Linked DNA regions of Oryzias latipes. The protein of the gene in region 2 interacts with the protein of the main gene of each other region in a pairwise test. Links are inferred from orthologs where the notes say so. Each region holds a gene or a part of one and is shown on either strand. Other genes may lie near its edges.

What was found.
Region 1: the proteins of endophilin-B1 (region 2) and htatip2 interact in binary tests that used the Homo sapiens proteins (3 or more experiments, as listed by UniProt). The link is inferred for Oryzias latipes from reciprocal best matches to the Homo sapiens genes SH3GLB1 and HTATIP2.
Region 3: the proteins of endophilin-B1 (region 2) and ric8a interact in binary tests that used the Homo sapiens proteins (3 or more experiments, as listed by UniProt). The link is inferred for Oryzias latipes from reciprocal best matches to the Homo sapiens genes SH3GLB1 and RIC8A.

What each region holds. Positions count from the first base shown.
Region 1 is NC_019861.2:6,471,143-6,481,819, forward strand, and holds the start of htatip2 (oxidoreductase HTATIP2), read left to right. Parts: upstream 1-5,291; 5' UTR 5,292-5,508; coding exon 5,509-5,630; intron 5,631-6,305; coding exon 6,306-6,495; intron 6,496-6,571; coding exon 6,572-6,679; intron 6,680-10,279; coding exon 10,280-10,417; intron 10,418-10,532; coding exon 10,533-10,594; intron 10,595-10,677. UniProt on the Homo sapiens protein: Represses translation by preventing reactivation of elongation factor eEF1A. May also inhibit nuclear import by competing with nuclear import substrates for binding to a subset of nuclear transport receptors.
Region 2 is NC_019878.2:11,769,500-11,780,176, forward strand, and holds the start of endophilin-B1, read left to right. Parts: upstream 1-4,749; 5' UTR 4,750-5,011; coding exon 5,012-5,074; intron 5,075-5,426; coding exon 5,427-5,568; intron 5,569-6,700; coding exon 6,701-6,829; intron 6,830-7,583; coding exon 7,584-7,717; intron 7,718-8,984; coding exon 8,985-9,077; intron 9,078-10,677. UniProt on the Homo sapiens protein: May be required for normal outer mitochondrial membrane dynamics. Required for coatomer-mediated retrograde transport in certain cells. May recruit other proteins to membranes with high curvature. May promote membrane fusion.
Region 3 is NC_019864.2:5,136,160-5,146,736, reverse strand, and holds part of ric8a (synembryn-A), read right to left. Parts: intron 9,619-10,577; coding exon 9,411-9,618; intron 7,219-9,410; coding exon 7,064-7,218; intron 6,976-7,063; coding exon 6,895-6,975; intron 5,714-6,894; coding exon 5,614-5,713; intron 4,505-5,613; coding exon 4,317-4,504; intron 2,750-4,316; coding exon 2,655-2,749; intron 2,581-2,654; coding exon 2,430-2,580; intron 1-2,429.

The DNA.
Region 1 (10,677 bases), on a different chromosome or scaffold from region 2:
GTAGTTTCTGTAGGCATTTACAGTATGTACTTGTGCAGGGGGTTTTTCTTAGAAAAATATAGCCAATTTAATTTCTAAAGTACACATTTAACTATAAAATTGAATAAGATGCACAGAAGAATTAACTAAAAAGAACTTTTCCAAATCCATGCTTCTTTTACTCTTAGCTAATCAATGGGCAAATATCATTGATCACAAACTACCATTGGTATTTCCAACTCCAACAGTGGCACTCTAAAAGGAAATTGACCCACGTTTCTACCACGCACCCACAGAGGCATAAACCCTCTTAATCCAACTTCCTGTCTGATCAATGTCAGAAACAATAGCTCAACAGGTGTGACAGACAGGAGCCCAGCAGCAGCTTTCTTCCCTGCCGCTGGGTCCAATTAGCACCCGCGGCTAAGGAACAAAGAAGCGACATTTCATTTCAGAAGTGTGCCAGTTAAAGGCCTCTTCCATCAACCTCAGCCTCTTTTCTTCCTGTCTTTTGCTGCTGACATCTTTAAAGGATCATCCCTGGCTGCATCATTTTCTATTAGATTGGGTCGATGCCTAGTGCTCAAAATGGCAGGGGTGTTAAAAACATGGGGTGTTGATGAATTCATTGCATGTGACTGGACTTGCTTTCTTTGTGGCGAGGGTTTCGTAAATAACACTCTTGCGAAGGCCTGATAAAAGGCAACAGTATCTTCAGGGTTTAGCTCTTCAATCATTGTCCTGACTGGATTTGCTACCTAAATTACTGTGGCAATGACATATCCCTTAACTTTTTTATTTATTTTGCACATGTGACATCTAAGGGAGCACTTTGTTTTGAAAGCCTTTCAAACTTTTTATTTATTGAAAGGATTTTCCTTATATCCAACAATAAAACTTTGATTTTTAAAGAGAGAACTTTGTTACAAAATCTAGATCCTACAAAATATGTACAGGTCTAAAGCTAGTTATAATCAAACTGAGAATATACTGATGTCTTAAAAATAATTTAGTATGAAATTATATCAAACAAGCAACCTATTACAGTTTTTCTCCATTGGTTTGGCTCATTTCTTGAAACAGAAATTACATTCTCAAAACAACATGGACAAACCTCCAAACCACTTGGCAATTGTTCACAACAGAATGGAATTTCTCATTGATTTCATCAAATTGCAAATGTCTCAGTACATCTTTGCAATTTATGAAGTACATGTAGCGTACATTAAGCACAATTTCCAAGTGAATAGATCTTGTTGATCTAAACTGATAGTTGATTTTCAGTCTAATGGTTGTTCGATCCAAAATGAGTCAGGATCATTTCATTGTGTAAGTCATCACATGCAAAATAGTCAGTTCAACTATCAAAATTAGTCAAGAACATAATACCATGAATAGGATATATGAATCCTTTGGAACATTTGATAAATTTATAAGAGCAATTGACAGGTGAAACTAGAACTTGACTAACAAAGCAGGAGTTTCACACATCTCAGATGACCAATCAAACAGTGTGTTTAGTCACCTGACAAGTGCTGTCCATGACTGTGAATGCTGCCAAAAATGTATGTAAAGAGCTTGACCATGCAGGACCAGTAAAATGTCTAAACATGGAGACACCTGGCCAGGTAAATGAACATGGGCAACTGCCTGCTCGAGGAGGAGGAGGAGGAAGAGGAGGAGGAGAAGGAGAAGGAAGAAGAGGAGGAGGATGAGGAAGAAGAGGAGGAGGAGGAGGAAGAAGAAAAGGAGGAGGAGGAAGAAGAAGAGGAGGAGGAAGAAGAGGAGGAGGAGGAGGAAGAAGAAGAGGAGGAGGAGTAGAAGGAGGAGGAGGAGGAGTAAGGGTGCGTGGTGGTGGAATAGGAGGAAGAGGAGAAGGAGAAGGAGTAAGGGTGGTGAAATAGAGGGAAGAAGCCGAGTAGGACGAAGACATCATCCCGCCCAGATGAAATTTGGGCCACAATTATAGACCATGTCATCAACCATGGCCTCACAATGGCGGAAGCAGGTCGCCGAGTGCATCTTAATGTGCCTCGCTCTACAGTCTCCTCCATCATCCAAACCTTTTGTAGAGAAAACAGATATTTAGTCAGTCAGTGATGGAATTATATGTTGTATAGGATAGGACACTGTGCATAAAGCAAGAAATATATTTGTTTACACATTTACCTATTCATTTGGTGCGAGTGTGATAGGCCTGGGATGTTATGATACTAAAATTGATAAGAAAAACATTGGAGAAAATAAACTATGGAACTATTCCATAAACTATGGAATTTGTATCATCATCATTGATGATGATACAGTTTACAGTAGTATTCCAGTCACTGTGCATTGATGCATTAGAATTGTGGTAAAGTTACTGTAAGTAAAACAACAATACAATTACATATGTAACTCATTCTGTAAGGAATACATAAGGTATACATTAAAGTTTTTCTCCATTGGTTTGGCTCATTTCTTGAAAAAGAAATTACATTCAGAAGTTTGATCCCTGAAAATGAGAAAAGTCTAGTAGGGCCTCACCTACCACTATATGTTATTGTATGGGACAATGTTAATTTCCACCGTGGCCCGCTCATCAGGGCCTCATCCAAGGATGGTCATAGTGTTCCTACCACCTTACTCTCCTTTCCTCAATCCTATCGAAGAGTTTAGCTCTGCTTGGAGGTGGGGAGTGTAGAAGCATCAGGTTTAAGATCAGAGGTCCCTGCTCCATGCACTGGATGCTGCTACAGCAGCTGTTCACAGGGCTGACAACTGCAACTCATTCCCCGTTCGACCTCAGCTCTCCTACTATCCCCCTCCCTCCTCCGTGCACTGTCTGGAAGAATGTGCCTGGCTCACGGAGCTTCACCTGAAGGACAGATTCATGGGGGCCCCTCCTCCCTCCATCTTCCCCACCCTCCTGAGCCTTGTGCATTGTGTTTTGTCTGCATATGTGCTATTTGTGTTGAACCGTGTAGTTTTTTTCTTGTACCTAAACATTGTACGCAGTGTAGAGATACGACTTTTTTTTGTCACCAATGCCCCACCCCCCCCATTGTAGACCATCTACATGCTGAACAAGGTTGCGCTGGGTTCGGGCATCACGGCCTGGGTCACAGCAGCATGACCTCAGTCAACTTCTCAAAATGTATGTGTATTTTTTGTTTGTCTGATCTTGTTCGAGATGTACTGGAACTAAATTTCCTTGTGAGGGATTAATAAAGTACGTTTGAATTTGAATTTGAAAGTACACAGTTAATGTATGTGTCAGAGGTCAGAGCTCCTCCCCCCACCCCCCTGGTCACGGGCGGTAGCTGTCTCCGGAGTTCTACACGCACTACATCTCCCAGCAACCCCAGCGTGCAGTTTCTGGATGCTGCACACCTGAATCTGAATTGCACAGAGCCTCGCTAAGTGTTCATGCCGCTCTGCCTGCATTCCTGGCGGTTCTTCTAAATCGAAGATCCTTATTCCCTGACCCTGTTTTGTCTCTGACTCCGTTTGCCTGCTCTGAGTCTCGCCTGGATCCTGACTACTCCAGTTTCTTCTCTGATGCTTCCATGCTCATTGTTGACCCCTGCATGCCTAACCCTGATATAGATTTGTGAACTTTCAGCTGTGCTTAGAAAACCTGCTGCAATTTAAATCAGACGTCTGCCGGTTTTGTGACAGAATGACTACATTTATTTACAGACTTGACCTGAGCTCTCTCTTTCTTATTTCATATTGTTGCACATAGAAAAAAGGACTTCAAGTTATTCAAGTCATAACCAGATGCCTTAGTAAAAATAGATCATCTGACATCAAGCATTAGAAATGTTCAACAGATTCACCCAAATCCACTTTCAAGCAGTAAGAGTGTGGCCTTTAACAAGCTCACATTTAATTGGCGAGAGTGGTTGCCATAGAATTATTGACTCAGAAAGACTCATACTAAATATTGCTTACTGCCGTTGTCTGGCTCCAATGTGGCAGCGTCCATAATGCAAAGAACATGGCAAATGAATTGACGTCATTTTGCTGTAGCCAGTTATAAACCATTTTCTATAGGTGATATTACACTCACTTGGTCCAGTTCACATACAGTATATACTTTACAGTAAATACTATAGAATAAAATACTATATAGAATAAAAGCCATGCAGCCTCATTATTCCCAGTTCTGGTACCCAGCCCGGATACAGGCCTGTGAAGGGCATCCAGTAACAATTTACTTGTGAAATGTCACATCTTTGTTTTTCCAGCTCTGTTTTTGCAATTGTAGCATGGCAGTGAGACGGCAAGTTGCTCTTTTTTAATATGGTGTCGAACTTTGCATATATAGCTTACCTCGCAGTGCAGCGTCTCTAGCCCATTAACTCCTTGGTTTACTCATTATTAGTCTCACGGTTGTTGTTCTTGTTACAAAACTCAATGAGTCAAATATACAACTTAGTTTTAACTTGGGATGGTACCAAAACTCTGTACCAAGTTGCTATTGGTACCATTTTAAAAACAAAGATTTTGGGAGGCCGGTAAAAGAGGCCATGCAGATGCACAGCACACCTGTGTGGTGATTCAGTCAAAATGCAGAGGGCATAACCAGTGAAAGTTTGGTTGTACTTTACAGCAAAAGATTCTAATTCAGAGTGATGTGTACAATGCTAAGAAAAAAGTGAAATACGTGTTTGCTTCCATGTGTGCGTAAAGGGAGATGCTGCGCTGCAGTGCAGACTGTCACGGAAATAATGCATCTTAGGCACATTTAAATGCTCTCCTTCACCCTGTCACACTGCTTCATCATACTTAAATGTTTATAGGGGAAAAACTAAAAAATGTAATTTTTGTAATTACATTTTTTTATTTTATTTTGCTTATATTGAATATATTTTGTTGTGGAAATCAGACATTGAGTATTGAAAAAATATTTATTACTTTACCAAATTTAATAGCTCCATGAATTTGCTTAAGTTGTATATGAGATACAGTTGCCATGCTTGATGTTCTGATCATTAATTAAAATATATTTCACTATTTTATTTAAGTGAAAGATGAATTTATATTCTGACAAAGTTTTTCTAATTCATACTCTATAAAAAAAAACAGTGAGAATTTGTCTGCCATACCAATACAAACACCCCTGATTACTATTATGCATTTTATATTTTGCTTTGTATTGCTTTTTTCTGTTTATTTCAGGTTCAATGATGGTTAGTGACAAACTGTCAGTAAACCTTAAACTAAAAAGATAACTGACTTAAACTAAAAAATAAGTGAGAATGAGAATCACAGACTGAGCGCGTGGGATGAGTCATGGGTAACCTTAGATCTTTATGTGCGCATGCGTAGTGTGGAGAATTTCATCGATAACAGATGACAGTTAACGTTTGATACCAAGCTGGAGTCTCTTAATTCATGTTTTTATTCATTTACAAACAGCGGACAAAGCTAATACTAGAACCCCGACATGATAGTCAGATTTTGACGGAGACAGGAAGATGTTTATGTAGAAACCAAGTAACCAGGAAGTGCTAAGGAAACGCTGTCGCCGCCTCGCTGATTATGAGATTGTTGTGTTGTTCTTCACTGGGGAAAGCTACCGGGATTTCAGCCCTTTTCATCGTAGGGTTTGCCCTCATTTTGAAGTATTTTGACGACGACACCGTTCCGGTAAAATATTTAAGGTAAATGACGTCCGTGGGTTCACGTTTACTCCACACCTGGACGCTGACTGATTACAGCTGTGAAACCCTACAGATTATTGGGATTTAACTAAACCTACTGATGAATAATAGAGCAATAAGTGATTTGTATTCATACATATAGTTGTAAAGTATATTGTTTAGGATTTCTCTTCTGTTCACTCTTATTTTTTCAGCAGCGTGTCTAGAAATTGTTTTAACCCTTGTGCTGTCTTAGATGACCCCACCCTTACGTTGACGTGTTCTACCTACCATGACAAAGGTGGATAAAGGTGAAAAGATTTCATGTAATCCATGGACACCAGTGAGGTTCACAAATCATTGAAGAAAAAAGGTTCAGCGCACTGTCTAGTGGGTCTAGATGACCCAACTCCCAATGTTAAAGTGCCTATGATAGCACAAGGGTTAACGGGAGCAAATATGGGCACAGATTTGGGAAAGGGGGGCTTCTGCAGCATGCGTTCATTTCTGTTATGGTCAGGGTAAATACTCGATTCTGATTGGCTGCTGGGTGTACATTATAAGACGGACGTCGTTTAACACATAATGCCAAGTTGCAGTGGCTGGACACACCCCTACTTATTTTGACACAATCCTGGTAGAACTTTCTGTGAACGCATGAAGGATTGGATCCGTTTTTTCTTCTTTGGTCCACAGTATGTCTGAAGACATCGAAGCCCAGGAGGAACATTTCAGGCGTCAGAACCAAAGCTGCTTCATCCTCGGTGCTTCTGGGGAAACAGGGAAGGTGTTGCTGGAAGAACTTCTCCAGCGCAACATCTACTCCAGGATAACACTGATCGGGCGGAGAAAGCTGACCTTTGAGGGCGAAGCCTATAAGAACCTGGTTGGTGGTTAGTGAACCTGGTTGCACAGAATCCAGGGTGTTCTCTTCAACAGGTCATCATTTTGAATCCTCACAGGTACAGGAAGTGGTTGACTTTGAGAAGCTGGACGAATATGCTGCTGCCTTCCAGGGCCACCATGTGGGCTACTGTTGTCTGGGAACAACCAGAGCCAAAGCAGGAGCGGTGAGTTCATGCCGCCGCCATCAGCCCTGCCTGCTGGGAGTGTCTTTAGTGATTAGGAATGACTCAGCGATTTTTATCTGCACACTTCATCAGGGAGCGGGGAACATGAATACATCCAGTTTGTTTAGGTCATTAACAGAGCTTGCAGGCTGACAAACATTACTAAGAAAACGACAATGACTGGTTACAGACATGACAAAGTTGTGGTTATATCATGTGGGACATGTTAGTTTTTTTTTTTTGCTATGTTGAAGGATGTTATTTCTTATTGCACACAGAAAGAAAAAGCTTTCATATTTTGAGGCTTTCTGTGATTTCTTTTTTTTGACTGCTCCTCCTTAAAGTCCCTCTCTGATCATCTTTTGTCTATTTTAAAGGGCTTATATGCTTTTCTTAAGCATTTCAGAGTAAACTATATCTATATACACAATAATAGATTACCTTTGGCACACTAAAGAAATGTTTTTAATGATATCTGAGTTATTTTGGCAGTTCATTTCCCTACCCGTAAGTAAGATGACTCGATCTCTGAGGCTCCGCCTTTCGCTCCTTGAGGGTACCACCCATTTCATGACGTCATCCTAGAGTCTGTTGTAGAGTCTGTGTTTCACACATAAAAACAAACAACATCTGATCTTTTGCAAAGATGCATGTGCATATTGTGCATATAAAAGGAAAGCGTTTTTGCCGATGAGCACTAGCTTCACGAAGAAAGTGTGTGGGTGTGTGTGTGTGTGTGTGTGTGTGTTAGCGTTAGCCTGGGGCCAGTGCTGGCATTGCAGACTCTTCCTGGAAGGGGCTGTTCCTCACTTTGTGACTTCACAATGTGAGGACCCACTCGATACATAAAGTTTAGCCAAAATTGCAAAATGGGTTTATACAAAAATGCACCTTGTTTCAGAAGATCCATTAAAAAAAAGGAGTCAACCTTTTAATACAACGAAAAGCTCGTTTGTAAAAAGTTGGTTTTGCATGGGCCCTTTAAAAGCGTTCTCTGTGGTCTTTTAATTATGATCTGGCAGTTATTTGCCAAAATAAATAAAAAAGCCTGTCATTATTTAGAACATAGTTTCTGCAGAGCGGCACGGTGGAGCAGTGGTTAGCGCCACCCCATCAACCTTTCCGTTCTCCCCCGTGCATGCGTGGGTTTTCTGTGGGGACTCCGGCTTCCTCCCACTGTCGAAAAACATGCTTTATAGGTGAATTGGTTAATCTAAATTATCCCTAGGTGTGAATGTGGGAGTGCGTGGGTGTGTGATTGTGGACACTCTACCCTGCGACAGACTGGCGACTTGTCCAGGGACCTTCTAACAGCCCCGTCACCCCAAAAGGGGATAAACGAAGATGAATGAATAGTTTCTGCAGAGTGGTTCATTAGAAAGTCACCTATGAGTTGGGGGTGGGAGTGTTGGCGGGGCGTAAACCTACCCCCTTCCCATAATTCATCTGTTTTCATTCGTTAGCTTACAAGCTCTCACAACCAGTGTAACAAAAATAGGGAGCGATATTGGTGGTAATCTTGGACAGATTGGAAATGGAAATGGATGTATCAAGTTTCACTGCTCCCATTTGTTGAACCTTTTTGCCAAAAAACATCAGACATTGGTTATTTTCCTGTCTGTAACGTCAGCTGGAGTTGAAAAAGAAGGCAGTGCACAGCATTGTAATCTGAATCTTTGCTTTTACTATGGACTAAAGGCCAACTAAACAGACTGAAAAGTGAGGTCTTTTTTTAAATGAATCTAACAGTTCAGTTATTGATTGTCATCCTTGTCTAATTTATCAAGCCCCTGTCATGTGAGCATTAACAGTGCAGCATTCAAGAAACCCATCAAGAAGAGTGACTTATTTAGTTTTCTCAAATGATCTTTGTTAAATTTGAACATTTATGTATTTCCTCCTTTTTATTAGGAGGTCAGACCCAGTAGGCAGAGCTGAAATCTCCTGTTAGTTTGTGCGATTAGTTTCACACTTGAGTGTGGGGATCGTCTGCTTTCACTGATGGTGGGCTCTTTCAGAGGCAGAAACCTCATTTCTTCTCCACTGTCTAGTTTCTTTATTTGTTCATGCTCTAACGAACTGTGAAGCCATGTTCACACCTCCCTCGGCAAAGCACGTTGAAGCGACCACTTTCAACGAAGAGTCCACGTTTAACCAGTGTAAATGGGTGTCCTGGGCTTCTGCGTTCTAAACCTTGGCATGAATGTGTAGCTACACACATTTCAAATGCCATTTTTGTGCTCTACGCACAAAACGCGCAGCCATTGAATGTGCATTGAAAGTTAAACCAGCTCAAACTTTGACCAGTCGGGGACTCTAATTTTCTAATGATGTGTGGATGAATCACAGAATTGTCAACAGTTTGAAAGTTCATCATTGAGGAGAAATTAGTATGTGCGCTCTATGCCCGGCTGGAATTATATTACACCAAGTCTTTCATGTATCAGAGTAGAGCTATGAAAGAAAAAGCCTAGAGCAACATTCATCAGATTTCCACCGCTTTGACATTTCACACCAAGACTCTACCAACTGTAGGTGGAGGACATGCACTAGTAAACAGTAGAAAGAAGAAGAGGCCCCTCCCTGACAGAGGCTGCACAACCAGAACACTATAGGCTAAATGCGCGTCACATCCCTGGTGTGAACATTGCTTCAGACACAATAGCAGTTATTAAAAAAAAAAAAAGGATGATAAACATAAACAAGTTGTCTTGGCAAAAACAATAAGATATTGATCAATAATGAGATACAGTCAGGACCATAAATATTTGGAAAGAGACACATTTTTTCTAATTGTGTTTCTGTACATTACCACAGGGAATTTTAAATAAAACAACTCAGATGCCATTGAAGTGCATTTGAGATGCTACAAAACCCAGCATCTGGTGATGTCCATGAGTTCTAGACTCTGGAACTCTCTACCTCCGGACCTCAGAAACATCGGGTCTCTCTCACAATTCGCCAAAAAACTGAAAACTCATCTTTTCCAACTCGCCTATTCCCTCCGATAATTTCCTATTTCTGGCCTATTTATATGTATATTTTATTGTGCATTCGATTGCTTTTATTTTATTTTTATTTTCACTTTTATGTACGGCGACCTTGGGTTCCTTGAAAGGCGCCTAACAAATAAAATTTATTATTATTATTATTATTATTAGACTTCAGGCTGTCATTGCCAACAAAGGGATTTCTACCAAATATTAGTAATGAGCATTTTGTTTTCAGTTATTTCATCTGTCCAATTACTTACGAGCCCATGAAATGAAGGGATTGTGTTTAAATGTTTACATGCTTAAATTTTTCCCATTTTTGTGCAATCTTTTTGTTCAACCCATGGAAGCTGAAAGTCTGCACTTCAATGGCATCTGAGTTGTTTTATTTAAAATTCACTGTGGTAATGTACAGAAACTGAATTAGAAAGAATGTGTCTCTGTCCAAATATGTATAGTCCTGACTGTATTTACTCCCCTTCTGTCTTTAGGTTGGTAAGTGCCTCTTTGATGCTCTTTTACTTGAACTGGGTTAAATCAGGGAGTTCTTTATGTCTGATCTTGCTTGTAAATTGTAATATTTGAATATCATTCCTTTTGTCTTCAGGATGGATTTGTGCGAGTCGATCATGACTATGTCCTGAAATCAGCAGAGCTCGCCAAGGTGGGAGGCTGCAAACAGTTTCACTTGGAGTCCTCCAGAGGAGCCAACAAAGACAGCAGTTTCCTTTACCTCAAAGTCAAGGTCTTCTGTTTGTAGTCTTCATGTTGATTTCCAGCCAAACATGTTTTTGCGAAAATGTTTTTGCTTTAAATGGTTTGCACTTGAATATCTAAATTCATGTATGCTTTTCTTTAAGGGCCAAGTGGAGGCAGAGATTGAGGCTCTGGATTTTGACAGATTCTCCATTTACAGGCCAGGGTGAGTCATTTCCTATTTTGGATTGAAGCCATCCACTGCATATGAGAATTGGACTAAGTGACCCCTCCCCTTTGGCGTTCCAA
Region 2 (10,677 bases):
GGAGTTAGAAGGCGATTGATTTTTACTAAATTTGTTACTTGTACAAAACCTGGGTCGTGGTTGTAGATTTAACCTGGCAGCATGTGTGTGACATTTTGTAAAGCTCGCTCCAACAAAAGTCTTCATTTCCCACATCGTTGGAAAATTGCCAAATTTCACATCAAATGGCCGCCAAGCCGTAGACTCATCCAATAATAAGTTAAAAACCTCTTTTAGACATCCCCGACACGTGTGTTTGATTTCCTTGGTGGATTTTGACCCATTGATTGAGCCTCAGAAGAGATTTTGGCCCCCGTTCGTCTTTTATTTGGATGGTTTCTCCTGCTGTGATGTCAGAAAACTGATGCAAAGAAAAACTGATGCAAAAAACTGGTTGGTGGAAAAATCCAAGAAAAGGTCACTTCAAGATCAACTTTCACACAATTAGACTGTGAAATCAATGAAGAAAAGGGATCCGCTTTCAAATTAAAAGCGTCCGGACTATACCCTTATTTTCCAAACTGTTTTGCTTTTGATATGAGAACATTTAAAAATAGCTTTACCCTGAATTCCTTCAATTTTTTCTTCACAGTTTTTATCTGAAATGAGCCATGACTTCATCAGGGTGGTTCATTTTTAGAGATCTATATGAATTTCTTTAAACCATGGTGGATTTTTATGTAGGAAAATCCCTTCACTGATATGCAGTGAAGGTCAGAAACATGACAATAATTACAGAAAATACATTAAAATGCACAGTCTTTCCCTTTTAATCAACAAAAACATGGAAAACGGTGTCACTGCAGCAAAGTAAATGTTTCCTCTCTTTCCCAACGTGTCTCCATGGAAGCGCATGTCCACCAGGTGAAGGACAGCCTAGCCCAGCAATCCCATCAGCTCATACCTGCTGTGTTCACTAACACATGAGGTAAGCAAGCAGACAGCAGCAGGGCTCCAGTCTGTTGACTTGGCACTGCCTGGCTGCACGCTCTTCCTGCCAGCAGATCCGCTGGTCTTTGATCTCTAATGGTCTTCCTCCTCCTTCCTCCCCGTTTCGCTCGTCCTGCTGAGTCAACGTCTCCGGTTTGAAACGAAAGCGAGCACGTTTCTGTCTCCAGGTCCCTGATGATGGCTGTGAAAGAAAAAAAGAAAAAAAAAGAAGGCAAAATGAGGGAGTTAAATCAGGTTCAGCTCAAAGTGAAGGATAGACTGGATTTTAAATTCCCAAGAAATGGTTGACAATTTTAAAACTCAAAAATGGATTTTGAAAACTTGAGGAAAGTATTGGAAATCTAAAAAATAAAAATGTAAATTTGAAAAACAAATTAACATTAAAATTTGCTAAATTAATTTGTAAATTAAAAAACATTATATTGTAAATTTGATAGAAATGTTAAAAATATAAGTTTAAATATTTGAAAAATAAAATTTTAAATAAAAATATGTATATTTGTTTAAACATTTATTGTTTTATTTAAAACCTGAAAGAAATATTGAAAATTTGCAAATGAAGAAAGTTAGAAAATAAATATATTTTAATTCACATTTGGTAACATTTTTAGGTTAACTTTTTTCTTCTTTAAAAGTTTCATGATTTCCTTCTAGTTTAAAATGAATTTATTTCAAATTTACAATAAAATGTCTACATTTCTTTTAAGTTTACCATTGAAGTTGAAAACGTTTTTCCTTTCCTGTTTTTTTGTTTTTCAGTTTTACAATCTGGTTTTTTTGTTCACCTCAAGAATATCCTGATTTCATATGAAATGTGGAGCATTTATGGAGAAATGGAAGCCTGGTTAAATGAAGCAACAAACCGGATCCCATTTGTCATTAATGGTCTGAATGTGTGTCCAGCTCTGCCCGGTGCCTTCCAGGCGGCGCTCCATGGAGTCCTGACGCTGAGCCGACTGGATGAAGCCGTCAGAGACACGATGCGGCGTGGAGGATGCACCGCCAGCCGAGCCTCCTTTATAGGAGCTTGTTTGGGAGCACAGGTCAGTTAATGCTGGTTGGCTTTGATGGCCTAAATCCTCAGAAATGGGCTGGTGGTGTAGTGGTCAGTGGTCCAGCCTTACTTTTGTTTTATTGTAGAAGCGTTCCCAGTGGTCTTAGAATTAGGATTATGCCATTTTTAGGCAAAATCCAAAAAACCTGTGTCGTTTTCTGAATTGTGGTGGGGACCAGAGCAGTCCTGCCCCCTTTTCCCTCATCATTACTGGAGCTCCTAACCCAAATCCAGCCCTGGAGGTCCACCCTCCTTCTGGTTTTCCAGAAAGCCTGCCTGGTCTGCTGCTGATTACCTGGATCAGGTGTATTTGGCCAATAAGGAGCTTGTTTGTTGGAAAACATGTTGGACACCGGCCTTCGAGGCCTGGATTTGGACACCTCTCTTGCTAGCTTACAGTGGCAAATTTCTAATGAACTCCTGCCGCTCTGCAGAAACAATGTCCTAGAAAATGGCACAATTTTTTGCCTAAAAACGGCCTAATCATAATTAAAGACCATCCCTCTGAATACAAACCTATCCACTGTGGAAGAATTATGCAGGATGGAAGCTGTCTTTCCTGTAGATTTTTGCTTTTTCATTTTTAGTATTTGGAAAGTGTTCCAGTTCATTTGCGCTAAAGACTCAGCATTTTTTGTTTTTTTTTTGCCTCATGTCTTTTTCAGAGCGGTCTTCAGGGAGTTCCGGAGTCGTGGAGGAAGAGGACGCTCAGATTCCCTCTCCTGTTGGAGCTGGCCAAAAGTGTGGTCAACAAGAGTCGAAGCGTGTAGTTCAGCTCCCGCTGTGCCACAAACACAACAGGCCATGTTGCGTTCGCTTACAGGGACATGATCCTCGCAGACTTTCCCGCTACAGATGGGTTTTTCTTTGGCAGCTGCAGCTAATGACAGCTTCATTCTAAAGCCATGTGCTGAATGAAACTTGAATCCTTTTGCTCTGTCAGAAGCTCCATCATGTAACCAAGTGATAGTTTGTGCAGGCTTCTGGTTTTTGGACGTCTCTGCTCCCATCGCGCTTCTGTTCTGTTGTCTGTATCAGGGGCTGATCGGAAAATCCTTTTTTGTCAGCTCAGAGCAGGGCTCTCTGGTCTTATTCCTCGGAGTGCTCTCTGTTATCGTGAAGTGAAAGAGCAGCGACGGGCGGATTTACTGCTGGAACAACCTCCACCTTCCTCAGAGGGCCCCGCTCTGCTCTGCAGTCTTTCTACAAGTGCTGATGTGTTCAACGCCTCCACCCCGACATGTATGAAAGTTGGATTTGTCCTCATCTTAACTTAAAAACGCAGCTTGACAGACAGTGAAAAACTGTTTGGTTTTCAGTATTTATGCCTCTCTTGTTACCTTAACCATAAGGAAATGTTTTAAACCAACAGTTGCAGTGGTAAAGCTTTAATTTCTGGTGAGCAAAAGTTTTATTGAATGCAGTACGGAGGCAGAGATGGCAGCTGACGGTGTGTTGGAAGCCTGCAGAGGGGAAGTCTGCCTCTGCTTGACTTCCTCCCACACAGCAGGTAGCAGCCCCACTCTGGCATAATCGCAACCAGATCTGATGATGGGTTGTGTTTTTCTAAAAAATTGGCCTGACTTCCCTCCAAAGATGCCTTTCTTACAAAAGGTTTGTAAAAAAAAAAAAAGAAAAAAAAAAGCACCATATTTATTTAATCTCTATACGTTTTGTGCAAAAAGCCATAAAAATGTAGTAGTTTTTAATTTCTCTGCCTTGGCTGACTGATGTTCCAAACATGAAAACTTTGCTTAGGTTCTCCACCAGAAACGAGAAGAAACTTAATCCAAACATTGCATATTGATGTCATTCTCCAAAACAACTCATTAAGAAGTAGGTAAAAAAAGTCAATTTTTAAACAATTAAAGTAATTTTCTAGTTTAAAAAATGCCCTTTTCAATGGTAACGTAACAAAAATGCCGATCATGTGACGCCACGTGAAAAGCGTCTGTTCCATGATTTGTGCTGCAGTTAATCAAATCAAATCCAATCCAATCAAACTTTATTTATAAAGTATAAGGGTAACTCTTTACAAAATTAAACATCTTTAAAAAAAACGGACACAGTACCCTTTGACATTACCAACGCAACATAGTTTAAAAATATTAAATAGAACTTGAAATATGAATTTGAAATTTAAGAAAGTTACTTTTTCCCCTCGTTTATCATTTATTTTCTTTATTTGTATTTTTTAAAGAGGCAAAATAAAGTCACTATTGTGTTCTGCTTGTGTGGTGCATTCAGTGTGTGTTTTAAAATCCCACTCCAATCATCTTTTGATCTATTTTAAAAGGTTTCCCAATGGGTTTTTAATGATGATTTTCATTGTAGTGGGTCTTTAAATGATGTGTGTACATTATGAAAAATTTCAGTGTTAATAAAGTTATTACAAACACTTGTATACATGTCTTATTACACACCTTGCACACAGCTATTCAAAAGACACTTTATCTCGCTTCTTGTCACTCCCTAGTTTATCTTATCTCAATATGATAATAAACTGTACACAATGAAACTGCGACACGAAACTACGACATTTCCGCGTAATATGTATGCAGCAAATGGATTTTAATGCCCAAGAAGTCATGCAAAGAAAGATGGAAACCTTCCACCTTCGACTATGTTCGTTTTAAGGTTTTGCCAACTAAAAATGTATGTTTGAAGTTTTTCGGTCATGCCAGCGTTGGACTATTATTATAATTGTATTTTAAAAATATAAATCAGAAAAAAATGTTTTATTTTTATTTTTTTCCCTCTTTTTTTTCTTTAGTTGTTAACTTGTCATTTAAATGTCGTTTTCTGGGGATTCCGGTATTCATTAAGCGCATGCGTACAACCCGTCAGTGCTGTCAAAATGTTAGGGTGGTAACGGGATCCATCTCGGAGTATACTATCTTTGTCTAGCTAAACAGCTGGGTGGACCAGCGACGAAATTTTGCTTCAATGACATTTTCCTTAGTGATGGCAGTTGGAGTGTGAGACCAACCTGATTTAGTAGCAGGGTTTTATCTTCACAGCTGTGCCATGGATTTCAATGTAAAGCGGTTCGCCGCAGACGCCGGTACTTTTCTGAGCCGTGCGGTACAAGTAAGTTTATGCACTGACGGGGGAAGTTGTGGCTAACTTTAGCCGTTAGCCTTATCAGTATAGAAGGCGTTAGCTCCCTTGCTAAGATGCTAACATTAGCGCCGCGAATTTTGTAGAGCTAATTAGCACATTTATTGCTAAAACTATTCTTACACGCCGTGAATTAAATTTTTATTTGTCAGAGTGTTTTAGTTAGTTGGACAAAACCACAAGTTGTAATCAAACTGCGAATAAAAGCCACAGAAAACCGTATGCTAATCAGATTGGGGGAACTTCTATTTCCATTAGCTTCCCTTCATGCTAACCGTGACACAGTCACAGTCAGCTCCTCAACTCAACCCACATTGTCCAGTTTACAGAGGAGAAGCTCGGCCAGGCTGAGAAGACTGAGCTGGACGCTCACCTGGAGAACCTGCTGGTCAGAGCTGAGAACACCAAGCAGTGGACAGAAAAGATCATGAAGCAGACAGAAGTCCTCCTCCAGCCCAACCCAAGTAAGAAGACCACACTAATGCATTCATCGGACCTGATACATCAACAAACTGGAGCTTTTATTTTGGTGGCAGACATGTTTGTTTTCATCTCTTTTGAGTGGGGGGAATGTCCAGTGTTTGCTGGATTATTTATAAATTAATGAATTATTAACTATTAATAAATACAGAATCCACATTCTGATTGGTCGTTATAGTGATTTTTTAAAGCAATGTTCAAGCTAGGTCTTCTACTTTAAGGGCTTGATGTACTATCTTATTAAATTAAAACTATGTACATAAAAAAAAGAAAAGACAATTCCAAAATTATTCATCTGGCTGCATAAAATGTTTAAATATTAACTTTTACATTGTTCTTAGGCCATCAACCTTATCTTTTTTAGATTTTAAATCATTTATTTTAATGTCATTCTATTACTTTGAAATGTTTTCATTAAAACTAAGTGTCTCAAAGTCTCATTTAGTGTATTTTTTAAAAGTTACTGTGTCTAAAATCTATTATATGATCATTTAGGGGGGGGGGGGGGGGGTCGTTATTCCTTAAAAAATTGTCCATCTTGGAATTTTTAGTGGTAAAATAGGCTCCCCCCTCACCTGGGTGTTGATTTTTTTTTAAAGATAATGCCCTTTTTTAATGTCTAAAAGCCCACTCTAAACAACAAAAATACTTAAAAATAACAATAAAATTCTATACTAGTTACTTTTTTTATTGTAACTGGATACAAGCATTTATAATTTGTATTCTAAATATTTTTTTAAGTAATTAAATAACCTCGAGGGTCCTTATCAATTTAAATGTAGACATTTTAAACGTGTTTTTTTTTACTATCAGAATAGGATCTGGTCTAAAAAGCTCTGCAGTGAGAGTATTGGTGGAGGTGGGGGGGTCTGTGTGGCCTCAGCTGTTGGCCTCGCACTGTGATGCCGTCTCACTGCGGTCCGAACCCCATCAGAAGCCAAACAAACAGAACGTCTGGTGGTTCCAGGTCTAATGCATTTGTCTTCAAACCCACCGCATGCACATGAATAGATTCTTGGAAAAGAAAAAAAAAGTTTCTTGATGAAAGCGGCTGCTGGTTTTTCCCCACACAAGTCTTGTGACTCCATGATTGAGTTTGGACGCTGTCATCTGCAGATGTCCGGCTGGAGGAGTTTGTGTACGAGAAGCTGGAGAAAAAAGCCCCCACGCGAATGAACAACCACGAGTTGCTGGGACAGTCCATGATCGAGTCAGGAAGTGAATTCGGCCCTGGAACGGCGTACGGTGAGTGGCGTCCGTGACGCTCTGATGACACCTGCTGTCTGTCACGAACGTTGTCTGTGATTAAGCAGATTCTTTTGGTGCAGAGTAGAAATCTGAGGGGGGATAAAACCCCATTTTTACTAGTAAGTCTGTAAAGAAATGTTGGCGTAGATGGGATCATCCAAAGAATGGAATCAAAAACTTAGAGAAAAATGCATATTATAACCAACAACAATGCAGTGATTGTGTTTTTTTTGTTGTTTTTGCATCAGTAACGTCTTTGTTTCTTAAGGCCGTTTTGTTCCGCCGGACTTTCAAACTATAACTTTATTTGAATAGAAATCGTTAACGACACGGAACTGGTTTGTTTTGAGGTGTTTTAGTTTGAGAAAGCATCAATTGTATGGTAACAAATACAACAAAAAAGTGTGAAAGTTGTCGTTTTTTTAACATGTAGTGAGAATTTAAACACTTTTGTGTCTAGCTTGGTGTCAACAAAAGAAAAAGTTGAACTGTACTTTACTTATTATGTCTTCTTTTGTTAAATTCCGCTGAAAATTCAGTTTTTTCCAGCTGGTTTGTTTTTTTTCCTTCTTTAGTCAAATTGGTTTATGTTTTTATAATGAGATATGAGCTCCAATATTCTTATCTGCTGACAGCTTTAGATATGTCATTTGGCTGTGATTGTGTGCTCTAGAATCTATTTCCTGCTGCATTGTGGGTCAGTTCCTGCTCTGTGTAAAGTGTGTTGCTTCCCCTGTGCTGACCGTGACAGGAAACGCCCTGATAAAATGCGGCGAGACGCAGAAGCAGATTGGCGGGGCCGAGCGCGAGTTCATCCAGAGTGCCGCCATCAACTTCCTCACACCTTTTCGAAATTTTCTGGAAGGGGATTTTAAAACCATCCTGGTGAGTTTGACGACTGACTCAGTCATTGTTTAGCTCAGGGGGGCCCAAATCCAGGCCTGGAGGCCTCCTCCTGGTTTTCCAGAAATCCTGCCTTATCTGCTGCTGATTACCTGGATCAGGCCTGTTTAGCCAATAAGGAGCTTGTTTGTTGGAAAACATGGTGGACACCGGCCTTCAAGGCCGGATTTGGACAGCCTTGGTTCGGAGGATCAACAACACACTAGCATGAGCTGCTAGACACTGACATGTCATTTAGAGATTCCCCCTTCATGTTTTGACAACACGGGCTCTCTTTTAAATCACAGGTTTCCTCTTCAGTCAACAATGAAAGTCTGAAAAGCTGCAAATCGAACCAGAGACTCGAATCCATGAAAACAGACGTCATGTCATTGAGGACATTAATGGCTGGATTTGTCTCAACTTACTTCAAACAAACAAACAAAAGTAAAAGCGACGGCCCTGTCTTTGGGGCTAAAGGTCGCCACAGAGCTTCACTCTAGTCCTCTGAAAACCACCAACCAGGCCAGAAACCTGGCTGCAGTCATGGACACAGACCTGAGTTTTGATAAACACGTGAAAGCAGTCGCAAAATCAGCTGACTGTCTTCTGAAAATGAATTCACGGATTAAAGATCTGAGATTCTTCATGCTTTCATCTTTAGGCGACTTGCTGACTGGAACGGTGTTCTTACTACCAAAAAAAACAATCAGGGAACCGCATCTTATTCAGAACTCTGCTGATGGGGTTCTCCCAAGGACTAAAACAAAGTAGAACCCCATCAGTCCAGCTCTGAGGTCTTTAGACTTTAGAACGTTTGAATTGTTTCGCACCAAAAGACATGATTGACCTCCTGACGCAGCAGCCAGACCTCTCTGCTCGTCTGGATCTGCTTTTTTGTCATAAACCAATCATGGAGAAGCTGCATTCAGCTTCTATGCTCCACAGATCTGGAGCCAGCCTTAGATCAGCTGAAGCTGTTGATTTAAATCCAGGTGAAAGACTGGCCTGTTCTCAGCTGCATGTGATCAGTTTGGATTCACACGTTAACATCTGTTCTGTTCCTTTAAGATGAAGAGAACTTTCTTTACATTTTTATTTTTAATGATCGCTCCTTTAACTGCGTCTTTTATGTCAAACACTTTGAATTGTTGAAATTAACTTTGCCATGTACAACATTTGTATTACACAATCCTACTTATTGTGTTTTTTAAACTTGTGTTTTTCAAAAATGTTCTTATGAAACATTTGTCTTCTATATTTCCCTTAGAAAGAGCGGAAGCTGCTGCAGGTGAAACGTCTGGACCTGGATGCAGCAAAAACCCGACTAAAGAAAGCCAGGATGAGCGACGCCAGAGCTGCTGTGAGGACACACGCACACACACGCACACACACACCAACACACACACACACATACACACATTCACATTCATATTCACATACAAACACACACACACATACAAACACACACACAAAGATGCACACAAGAAACAGATGCAGATGCACAAACAAACAAACACATACACATAGATGCACATACAGACACACATACACAAACAGCATGCATACACACGATATGCACACTCACGTATACAGTGATGCATGTGTGAATTCACAAACACAAAAACACACACAGACCTACACGCACAAAGATATACATACAAACACACACACAAAGATGCACATTCAAAAACACACACTCAGAAACAGCATGCCTACACAAAGTATCCCCACACACATTTACAAGGATGCACAGACATACACACACACACACACACCCAAAAACACAGACAGACCCAAACACACACACACACAGATGCATATGCAAACACACACACACGGCATGCATACACACAATAAGCACAGAAACACACAGATAACATGCACACAGAGGTGCACAACACCCACCAAAAAACGCACCAAAAGATTCCTAATTGGTGTCAGTTGATCTGCCTTAAAGATGTTGACGTGTCTTTCTTAGTCTCTCTCTGCATCCACAGAAGTTCTGATGGTCACACACAGACGCACACACAGACACACACACAGACGCACACACTAACACACAAAAAACGCACCAAAAGATTCCTAATTGGTGTCAGTTGATCTGCCTTAAAGATGTGGGCGTGTCTTTCTTAGTCTCTCTCTGCATCCACACAAGTTCTGATGGTCACACACACACACACACACACACCCACACAGTTACACAGGTTTCACCTCATGTGACTCATGAAGTCACATGAGGAGCTACAGGAAGCGAGGAGTTCCCTTTTTGCTCTCACTATGTTCTCAGTTTTAGGAGTCCGACTGATTTAAACTGAAGTCTGTTCTTCTTCAGCGTCTTTTCCATCTTCATCTTCCTTCTAGTGTTGGAATCTTTGGAGATTCTTTGGACGGGTTTTGTCAGAGCAGCTTCAGTTAAACCAGCATTTCCGACCTAAGATAACTATTCGTAGTTCTAAATGTGTTTTTCGTTTCGTCTGCGTTTTCAGTGCGTTTCAGAGCTGCAGTTCCTCCTGAAGCATTTCTGCAGTGGAGCTGCACCTCTGTGCCTCGATGCCTACATTTCCCAGAAAGCTTTCTTGAATTTTGACAGAATAAACGGGTTTAAAGAAAGTGATTGTGAAACATTTGTTGTTGGTTTCTGTGCAGCGAGTAACACAAGCTGCACATTTGCTAAAGAACGCTCCGTCCCGTCAGCTTGTGTGTCGCCGTTTCACATTCTCCCAAAGACGGCGGCGGCGTGGCGTGTTGGCCGTGCAGCAGCTGCAGCTCTAACTCATGTGTCACTGTTGTTTTTTTGTTTGTTTTTTGTTTTGAAAACTTAAAGCTGCAGATGTGAGCGGAGGAAACAAGAGGTGAGTGGAATGTTGGAGCAATGTTTGGTAAAGCCAGCAGGTGGCGCCTGTCCCTCCATGACCCTCATCCTACATGGACATGAGCCAAACCCTGCAAAAACCTACCGC
Region 3 (10,577 bases), on a different chromosome or scaffold from region 2:
TATTATTTGGATCGGGCTTTAAAAGGCACACGAAGACGGTTTACAACACTAACATAGCATTTGATGGCTCTCTCTGTCACTTCTAGTCCTACTAGACATTTCTTGTCAATTAAATCTCTGATTAATTTTCAAATACGACATTAGCTGCTGTTTGGGAAAACATTTCAGCAGCATTTGCTTGAGTTCTGCTAATGCTGGACTCCAGTTCCTTCAGTTTAAGGTCATGCACAAATGGTGATCCTCAAAGTGAAAAAGCATTTTTCCTCCTCGTCCTCCTCGTGTGGCAGATCTGCTGAGGGGCTCGCCAGCCCTGCTTTGGTGGATTCACAGAGCTGCGGACTCTGGCATGAAACATTTAAAGGCCCATGACAGAATTCTGCTGCAGCATGTTGGGAAGTATTAATAAACTCTACACCACATGAGAACCAATCCAAGATCCTCTTGCTCATCACGGCAGAACGACCACCTTACTCAAGGTGGGCCGGTCGCCTCACTCTTCACTCTTGTTGGATTGTGATGCTGCACTGAGGGAACGTTGTACTTTTCTGCTCCATACACTCACAGTTTCTTCACTGATATTTATCTTCATAGCACAAATATAATACCTACAAACTGCAGTAAAGTCTATAGAAACATTTTTAACACAAGTTGCTTTGCAGATTAATCCAACCCAGAAAACCCAACTATGGGAATTGAACCAGTGACTCTAGAACTGCCAGGCTCTGCTTCCACAGTTGTGGACAAAGTTTTATAAGTCAGTGCTCAAACAGTTCTCCATGTCATGAAAATGTGCCAGAAGTAAAACCTCTGGAAGGAGAAAGGCGAGCAACAAGAGCCTGGTGGAGAAGCAGGGGGAGCAGAGAAATGTCAGCAGACCAGGCCAGAGCAAACAAGCTGATGAGGAGTGGAGACAGCAGGCAAAGACCAGAGAATCAAAGCACTATTGGAGCTCTGGCTGCACACTGGAATACTGAAGCCTCTGCCAGCAGACATAAATCCCAGATGGAGAATTCCCAACAAAATCAGCCGTACAATAACTCCCACTTTGCCAACACAGCACTGGAGCAGGTGGGGGCATTTCTGGAAATAGTCACCAACAGGCACGGTGCAATTCCTCCCCCATGTGGGAGTGCAGTGGGAGGAGAAAATGAAAGCTTGAAAGTGAAATGATGCTGAGAAAACAGTCCAGTCCTGTTGGGCAGAGTTCCCACTCTGAGCACGGGGCCATCAGCTGACTGCTCCCCTCCCTTCTGTGACGATGCTGCATTACAGTGTTGTAAGGAAGACAAGATGGCTCATCTGTGACATGGTCCAGTCTAGGTGCTTCCAGCCATCCAAACCACATTCGAAATGGCTGAGGGCACCACCTGGATTCATGTCAGCCACAAGAAAGTCCCTGAGCTACACAAGCACCCATCACCAGGCATTTTATACTACAGAAGATAGGTAAGTAAAAAGGTGGGTGGAGGAGTGGATAGACAAATGGACGGATGGATCTATGGACAGACATACGGATGTTTGACTACAGGCAGCATTTCTACCGTCAGAGGGATGGATGGATGGATGAAAGAGAGGGATGGATGGCTGGAAGATGGATGGACATGCAGATCTGTGGATGGATGGATGGATGAACAAATAAAGACTAAACTTTGCACAGGCTTCTTATCAGACTAGTTAGTATTCAGAGATTATTTAACTTAATTTTAATGTGTTTAAATTAAACTTAATAACAATAACAGTTTATTTTTAAAGGCTGCTAGAAGTTGAAGCTGGGGTAACTATGGTGCACTGGGGTTCTGTCCTCTTTTCTCATCTACTTCTACCCTTCCTCTCTTCTCTATTTTTGATCATTTTTCATCATTTAGTTCCCTCTGTTTGGTGCAGTGCGATTCATGTATTGTCCCTCTTTCCCTCTCCCACTGGGGAGTGGGAGTCCTTCCAGACTCCAGTTGGCTCATCCGTGCTCCTGTTCCTGACCGTGTACCTCGTCTGTGCTCCTGCTCCTACACCTGGCGCGAAGGGGGGTCTAAGGGCAGGGATGCCAGTATAGCTTAGTCAGTTTGTTAGTTCATTTAGTATTTTCCTATATTCATGATCCTTTTGAGTTCATGTCTCACTTCGAAGTCCATCGAGACGACTGCTGTTGTGATTTTGGGCTATACAAATAAAATTGAATTGAATTGAATTGAATTGAATTGAATTGAATTGAATTGAATGGATGGACTCACTCAACAGTGTTTGGCTTCTTCACTAAAAATAAGAATGCTTATTTTCAACATCAAGATGGCTACATCCAAAAAAGAAAGTCTTGTCATGGTCTGCATGGGTCATAGAGTCAAACATTGACTACCTGTAGTGTTAACTTGGACTCGTGGGGTTGTTTCTTACCATCATTGCTCCTGGTTGTTTTGCATGAGTTGCCATCTTACCCGGTCAAGTCTTTTCTCCATGAAGTCTAGAAGCACTTTTACAGCATCCATGTTGACCCCCATGTACTCAATGGAGCCCTGCTGCACCTTTGGCATCAACAGTACATCCAGACAAGGCAGGGGGAGATTACCGAGCAAGTTGACTGTGTGACTGAAAAGAAGGAGAGGAATATCACAGGCAGGAAGCAGTGACTGTATGAATGAAGGAGGAAGGAGGAGCATTACCTGTGAAACTCCTCGGTGCGCTCCTCTCCATCTGCTTGACTCATCAAACAGTGTCTCAGTATGGCCCCCAAGTGTCTGTATTCCGCTGCTTCTTCCTTCACACACAACAACGCTGTCATAGAACCACCGCTTTCACTGGACAAACATGTCCTTCAAGACAAACCAGGTGGGGTTTGTACAACAGCTCATAACAGCGATAAAAAAGGTCAATGGTGTATACTTTAGGGGTGTTAGAAAAAATAGATTCGGCAATATGTCGCGATAGTTCATTTGGAGATACTAGCATTGATTCAAAATGCTGTCAGGACGATATTTATTTATTTATTTCTGAGTGTCCTTCATTGTCTGACTCTTGTTTTCCACTTCACCCTCCGACCACTAGTTGGCAGCAAAGCACACCAGCAGCTCTACACGCACAAAACAACAGGAAGACCTTAGCTAGAGGCAGCTTGCTTGTTGTTATGAGACATGAACTACTTAGTTTTTACTTGGGATGGGTACTGAACCAAAAATGTGCCGTGTTGCTGCCAGTAACATATAAAAACGCAGATTGCGGTGCTTTGTAGCGGCTCAGATAAGAACGAGTGAAGCACTGCAGCTGCACAGCAGCTAATGCACTGAGCATCAGCCAAAAGGCTGTCGGCAAAGCGGGCCAAAGTTCTGCAGAACCTCACAGCAATAGATTCTAGTTCAGAGACCTGATGGATCACAATGATGTGTCCAACGCTCTGAAAAAAGGACGACATGGTGGTGACGACTGTTACTAGTTTACTACCGCGTGTGAGAAAACGGAGCTGCAGCTGCAGAGCAGAGAGTCATGTAAACAAAGCATCTTAGCCACATTAAAGCAGCTTTACTTCATTCTGTCACGCTGCCTCATCATCACACTTTATTAATCCGTGAAATAATTAGTGCCCCCCTTTATTTTTGAAGCACCATTCAGATCCTGAACCCTTTAAGTACTGGAGAAGCTACATTAAACAATATTGTATTGGAAATAAAAAGCGCTTTATTTCCTCAATCATACTTTTCCAACATTATTGGTTAAGGCACATTCATTCCATTTTTTTTCTTATACTGAAATATATTTTGTTGTGGAAATCAGACAATGTTGACTGTTTCCTTTCTATATTTTAAGTTACCAAAATAAAAGCACTATGAATTTGGGTAAAAGCAACGTATGAGATAAAGTTGCAGTGCTTAACATTGTGATCATTAAATACATTAAGTTTGACCATTTTATTACAGTAGAAGACGTATTAAAATTCTTACAAAAAAAGAGAAAAACGTGTTCCGGTACAATATTGGGATCGGTATCGTATCACCAGACTCTTGCCAATACACCCCCCTACTATACTTATATAGCGCTTTTCTACCTTCTTTGAAGGTCCAATGCACTTTACAGTCACATTCACACTGATGGTGGCTCTCCTGCCAAACACTGGCGCCAACCACCAAAGGCAAGGTGGTGTCCCTTGCCCAAGGACACTTCAACATATCAATCTTCCGATCAGAGGTTCATCTTCAGCCTGTTGCACTGTGTGCAGCCGTGCAGAAGAAGAAGCTTGTCAGGTAGAAATGCTGACCTATAGTCAAGCTGCAGCTGTGGTTTTCAGATGTTGAGAAGATAAACTGGCCTTGATGTGGCATTACTGTGGTTACCTCATCCACTTTGCGTCTGTTTGTGTCAAATGTGACGTTGAAGAGGATTTTCAGTATCTCCATGGCTAGCTCTGTCTGCTGTCTGCTCAGAGGAGGCATCTCCTCGAGAGGGACCCCTACCAGCCCCACCCTGGCTGTCTCCAGAGGATCAGGCCAACATAGACCCAGTGCAGCATCCAGCTGGTTACCTGGTAAAAAAAAACAAGGCATCTTTTTCTCAGCACATTTCCATCTTCTATTAAAAGCTTCTCTATTTATCCTCATCGGCAGTAGAAGTCCAGTTCCAGCGTAGATAAAATCCATCTCACTGAGTAAGATAGACTGCATGGTGGCGCAGTGGTGCAGTGGTTAGTGCTCTTAATAATAATAATAATAATAATAATACATTTTATTTATAAGGCGCCTTTCTGGGCACTCAAGGTCGCCGCACAGCATGTATACAGTATAAAATACAATAAACACTTAAAACAACAACAACAATTTAAATAAATACAAAATTAAATAAAAAATATATAAAAACATGAAAAGGTTAATGTTAAAGTTAATAGGCCATTTGGAAAAGATGAGTTTTTAGCTTTGATTTGAAAATCTTGCCTCACAGCAAGAAGGGCCCTGCCTTAAGTCCCAGCTGGGGGACATGTTCTCCCCGTGAGTGTGAGTGTGGCCATTCCACCCTGCGACAGACTGGCGACCTGTCCAGGGCATCCCCTGCCTTCGCCTACAAGTGGGCGGGATAGGCTCCAGCAGCCCTGTGACCCCAAAAGGGAATGGAAAATGAATGAACTAAGTAAGATGTCATTAGACGTTCAGCTGCTCTCTCTCTGAGGAGCCACAGACCCCACACCGGCCAAAGTCAACTCCAAAAACAGTTCCCTCTAACTGCACCAAACTGCTGAAACAGCAACATAAGCTGCCATGCAGGAGTTGCTGGATTGTTGGCTGTGGGAACAAGCCCAATCATATGTTTCTTGAGCAGACATCTGCACAATCACCTGTCAGTCAGAGGCTACGCCCCCATTTCTGCCAAGTTTGATAATGTATAGCAGCTTTTTGCTTGAATGCATTTATACAGGCAGTTTTTCTGACTATTGTGAAGAGTTGTAACCCCCCCCCCTCTCTGAGTTGTCTGCAGCTCCTCAAGCATCTGCGGTGCTTTCTGACATCACATCCATTCCTCCTCCTCTTCTTCTGTGCTTTGACTCTGTAAGTTCTGTCACTCTGTAACATTTCCAGAAGCTGCAGGACGATGTTGAGAGACAGGCTCAGAACTCAGCAGAGTAAACACTTCACACGTTACCCAAAAGACTGATGCCGTGAAGCTCCTGAGCCAGCTGTGCCCTCACGTCCACCCTGAGCGCGGTCAGCAGGAAGCAAAGGCGCAAGTCAAAGAAACGCACCTGGAAAACAAGCACAACAGCAAGTCTGAGGACAAAACATGACCAGAACTATTTTAGCCTGCAACATATGGACCAAATGCATCAGCGTTCAAATTTCCACCGGCCGGATGGCTCCTGTCATCAAAACAGTAATATGCAGCCCCCATCATTTTCTACAAACTGTGGGGGATTTCCTGATTGTGATTGGCCTAACTACATGTAAAACCATGGCAACACTGTCCTTCTGTGACTCTTTCAAGCTCACCTCTAAAATGTCAACTTTAAATGAAAGGAAAAGTTGACAGTGAGAACCACCGCCACCAGGATAAGTCCAAGACATGGGCTTTTTTTTTTAGTGAAATATGAAACAACTGCGTCTGTCAAATATGCCAAGAGACTATGGCTGTTTTCAATATCAAGAAGAGCTACCTGAGATGCCATCAGCGACAAGCTAACTGGAAACGAATGGTGTGACAAATAAGGAATGTAAAAATGGATTTAGATATATTTGTATTGTATGTGAATTATGAACATATGTTCATTAAGTAGTTCATTTGCATTTAATGCTATTAAAATAGTTCGAAGAATGTTAGGCCAAAAGGTTGACCATCACTCATTTTCACCTCACCAAATCTGGCCCTCGGTGCAAAACGTTTGAACGTCACTCGGTTTCTGGGCTGAGAGACCGCTCTCCAAAGAACTTTCAAAGTTTCACTGATGTTTTCTTCATCCATTGTAGTTCTGCTGCTTTTTTCAGGAGAGGTCTGTTTCTCTTTGCATCAATCCACGAGTCATTCAGAAGTAAATGACTCACATTTTGTGTAACACAAAAAGACAAACACATTGCTTCTAGCCAGTACATCTTACCAGACAGCAGTCTGTAGTAAAGACAAAATCTTACCAGAGTTTTAGGATTTTCTTAAACTGAAAGTGTCCTTGCACAGACAAATACGATGTTTAGTGTTTTTGCTCAAAGACAGTTTCTAAAGGGAGAAAAAAGAGCAAATATAATCAACTGATTTGTTTTTTTTTATCTCATGAAAGTGTTCTGTTAAAATGGAACGGATTTGTTTGGAGGCTTTCAGAGAAGAAGTCAAGACAGACAATCACTGAAGCTACATTTGTATGCTCTTTTCATGTTTAGATGGTTTGGTAAAAGTGTTTGACTTTAACATTAAAATAAGTGTGAAGGAGGTTCATACCTCAAAGCTCCACGTGGGATCACGACAGTGTTTCAGTCTCTCTGCCACACCTTTCATGAGCTGCAGTTCTGCCGCCACCGCCTGTCATCAACAGCAGACAGTCATCAGATCAACACTTCAGCTCTAACCAAACGCTGGCTGTGAGCTGCAGAGCTGACGACAGGCTCACCTGTCCAGTCTCGTTGTGAAGCAGGATGTTACAGATGGACTTGAGAGCCTCGACAATCACCTCCAGATCAGGGTTCTCTGCAGGAGGAGAGGCTTCCTTCTCTGCAGCTCTGAGCGTATCTGCTTCCCCTTCCTCATCTCCCCCTTTATCCTCTACTAGAAAGAAAACAGATGAAAAATGACTCCAAATCTAAATAGTTGTGAAACAGCCAGAAACATTCATGCAGAGGAATATACGATCACCCTCCCTGGCATGCAAGGGAGTCAGAGGGTTTAGTGGCGGCTTCAGGCACGGGCCATACGGGCAAATTTAAGGGGGAGCGGCAGCTCAGTGCTAGTAAGAAAAGAAAAAGCAGCCTGGAACCTGTGTATTGGCGCCCCTGCAGCTGCACGCGCTTCTGTCTTTAAGAAGGCGCCGCAAATGTGTGGAGGGGTGGAGGGCGCACAGAGCGCAGCCTGGATTGCTCAACACCTGGATCATCGGTGCCTTTAGATGACTCAGCTTATGCTAATGATGTCATTCTTTATGAACTATTGCAGACATTTTGATGAGTCGTCTTTATTTTCTATATAAATGTATTTTCTACATCTGCCTGTGGTTTAGTTTGTGTCAGTATTCGACATAAAGACACAGGTAATGCAGGAAAACAGCTGCACTTTATGAGATCATGAATGAACTATGGATCATTTGTTTATGAAAGTATTGAGGTTTTTCAAGGATTTCTACTGTTGGTGCTACACAAAATTAGGAAAATTCCAGTGATGAGTTCTATGATTTAGTTTTTAATGTTTTCTGATTTTCACAATAACACGTTTTCTCTGATCCGTTTCACAAAGACACACACAGGACGTCACACACCAAGAAATGAACTTATTGCTAAAAATGATGCAGGGGTTCAGCTCTAAAAATGTCCAGAGCTCTAAATTGGTGTACAACTGTCACTGCGATGGTTCCATAAGTTATGTTTCTGGGGGAACAATCACTGGTAAAAAAAAAGAAACAAAAGTATTACACATGATTTTTTTAAGTAAAAATTTTGAAAAGCTAGTTTTTCTCCCCCGTGAACTGCCACCTTAACATATTGGGGGAGTTTGAGAGCTCGAGTGATCCTAGGAGCTAAGCTGTCTGGGGCTTGAACCCCTGGTAGGGTCTCTCATGGCAGACAGGTCCTGGGTGACGAGCCAGACAAAGAGCGGTCCAGAAGCCTCTGATGAAAAGAAAGACCAAGAACCCGATTACGTCGCCCGGATTGGCCCACTCTGGGGCTAGGCCTGGGGCTCGCAGGCGAGCGCCTAGTGACCGGACTCAGCCGAAGTAGCGACGTGGGACCACTCTCCCATGGGCCCACCACCCGTTGGAGACCTCAAAAGGGGCCGGTGCAATGTGGCAGTCGAGGGCAGGTGTCTCGGTGACCCAAACCCCGGTCATGGAACTTGGCTTTTGGGACATGGAACGTCCTCTCTCTGGGAGGGAAGGAGCCTGAGCTGGTGTGAGAGGTTCGGAGATACTGTGTAGATATAGTCGGGCTCGCCTTCACACATAGCCTGGGCTCTGAAACTCAGTCCTTAGAGAGGGGTTGGACTCTCTACCACTCTGGAGTTGCTCAAGGTGAGAGGCGGGGGGTTGGTGTGGGCTTACTCGTGAGCCCCCATCTCAGCCGGTCACGTCCTACAAGAGGGGCCTTGGAATTGGGGTGCAATAAGCATCATGCCGTGGTGAAAAGTTGGTTACCATGAATGGCAAATGAAACACGAAATGTCACGTCACTGGCTGGGAAAATGCTGGAACTGCTCTGGAACCAATCTTCTCAAGAAGGGTTGAACACTGTCTAAGCCTGCATTAATGTGGTGTTTGGTGTCAGCTCCTCGTGGCGAGACAATGACTTCCCCAGTGTGGGGGGGGTTCTTGGACTGAAGCTGGCATGTACACAAACACAGTGGCTGTTTTAAATATTGCATCAATTTATGGGTCGGTCTTCATTCTTCCTTAACTTCCCCCGCCAAAAAAATGGGATTTGGAATAACCCTGGAATGGTTATGATGTCATTGATGCATCAGTGGTGCATTTTCCTACAACAGCGTCGACATCTGTGTTTTTTTAGATTCTGATAACGAGACATTAAGTGTTGTGGACTCAAGCCTTTATGGTTCTTAGTGTTCCTTCATTGACATGATCACAAACATCACTGCCCTTCAAATTAAAAGTTATTTAAGCAATCAAGAGAGGTCTCCAGAGACCCATCACCTTCCATCGGAACAGAACAGGCTAGTAGTAGTGGAAAACGTATCAAGCAGAAGCACCATGGTTTTGACTCAGACACAACCAACCAGTGAACACAGACACTTACGTTTGCCCTCTCCTGGCTGGCTGTCGGCAGCAGTCTGAGCCGTGGCTATGCCAGCATACCTGGCTAGAGTGGACATGGCTGAGCGGCTGATGAAAGGATCCACACAACGTTTGTCTCTGGACAAAATGCGAACTGTTTCTAAACAGGCCAGCAGACAGGAAGGCTGCAGATCCCTGTTAAGAAAACCAACCAGCAGCTCGCCCAGATGCTGTGCAGAAAGAAACAAAAATACGTAAGCACGTTTTCATACAGAGATCAGTTTAAGTTACTAATTGAACCCATTAAATCTTAGATTTAGGCAGATACATTCACAGAAAATATTTTAAGTTAAAAAAAAGATCTACTAAACTAAGGTGATCCTCGTCCTTAGATATCTAGAAGATTCTGTGTGATCCATTCTGACTTAGTGTGCAACTTAAAGAGTCTTTCAATGACAGAACAAAGGCCAAAGCTACACTAGGGTCAGTTAGGTCAGAATGGATGAAAAGATGAATGTTTGGATGGATGAAAGAAGAAAAAAAGAGAAACTGACTAAAAGATTGACAGATTTGGATGGTTGAATGGTGGAAAAGATGGATGGATGGACGGAGGGAGGGAGGGAGGGATGGGTGGATGGAGGGATGGAGGGGGGATGGATGGATGGATGGGTGGATGGATGAGTTTTCAGTCCTGTATATAAGGCAATTGCTTCATGTTACTTTTTAAATGTCTTCATTTAGAAATTCAAAGTTGCTTTTTCGGAGTGAGCTTTAGTCCAACCATCAAAGTGTGCACAGGACTGTCTCTTCCCTTATTGCATGTTTGTCGCACTTTAAGGGTTGCAATCATCAAAACAAACATCATTTACCAGCTCAGTGGCCTTGTGCTCAAGTGTCTGGTCCGAGAGTGGAGGGTTGTGAGTTCAAAACCATGGAAATTAAGGGGTTGGATTGGAGGGGTTAAGCCACCAACCAAATGGTCCCTATGCTGCTGTGTCTCCAACCCCCCCCCCCCCCCCCCCCCCCGGGGGGAGAGATCAAACGAGGAGAACATCAAAGCAAGAGTTGGACATGGCAGTGGTAGTGTGATGGTCTGTATTGGTTGCGCTTAACTGATTTTCTGTTTTTTTCTTCTGTTCTCATCAAGAAAATCCTGTGTGACCTCCATCCGTTCATGAGGTCTTCACTT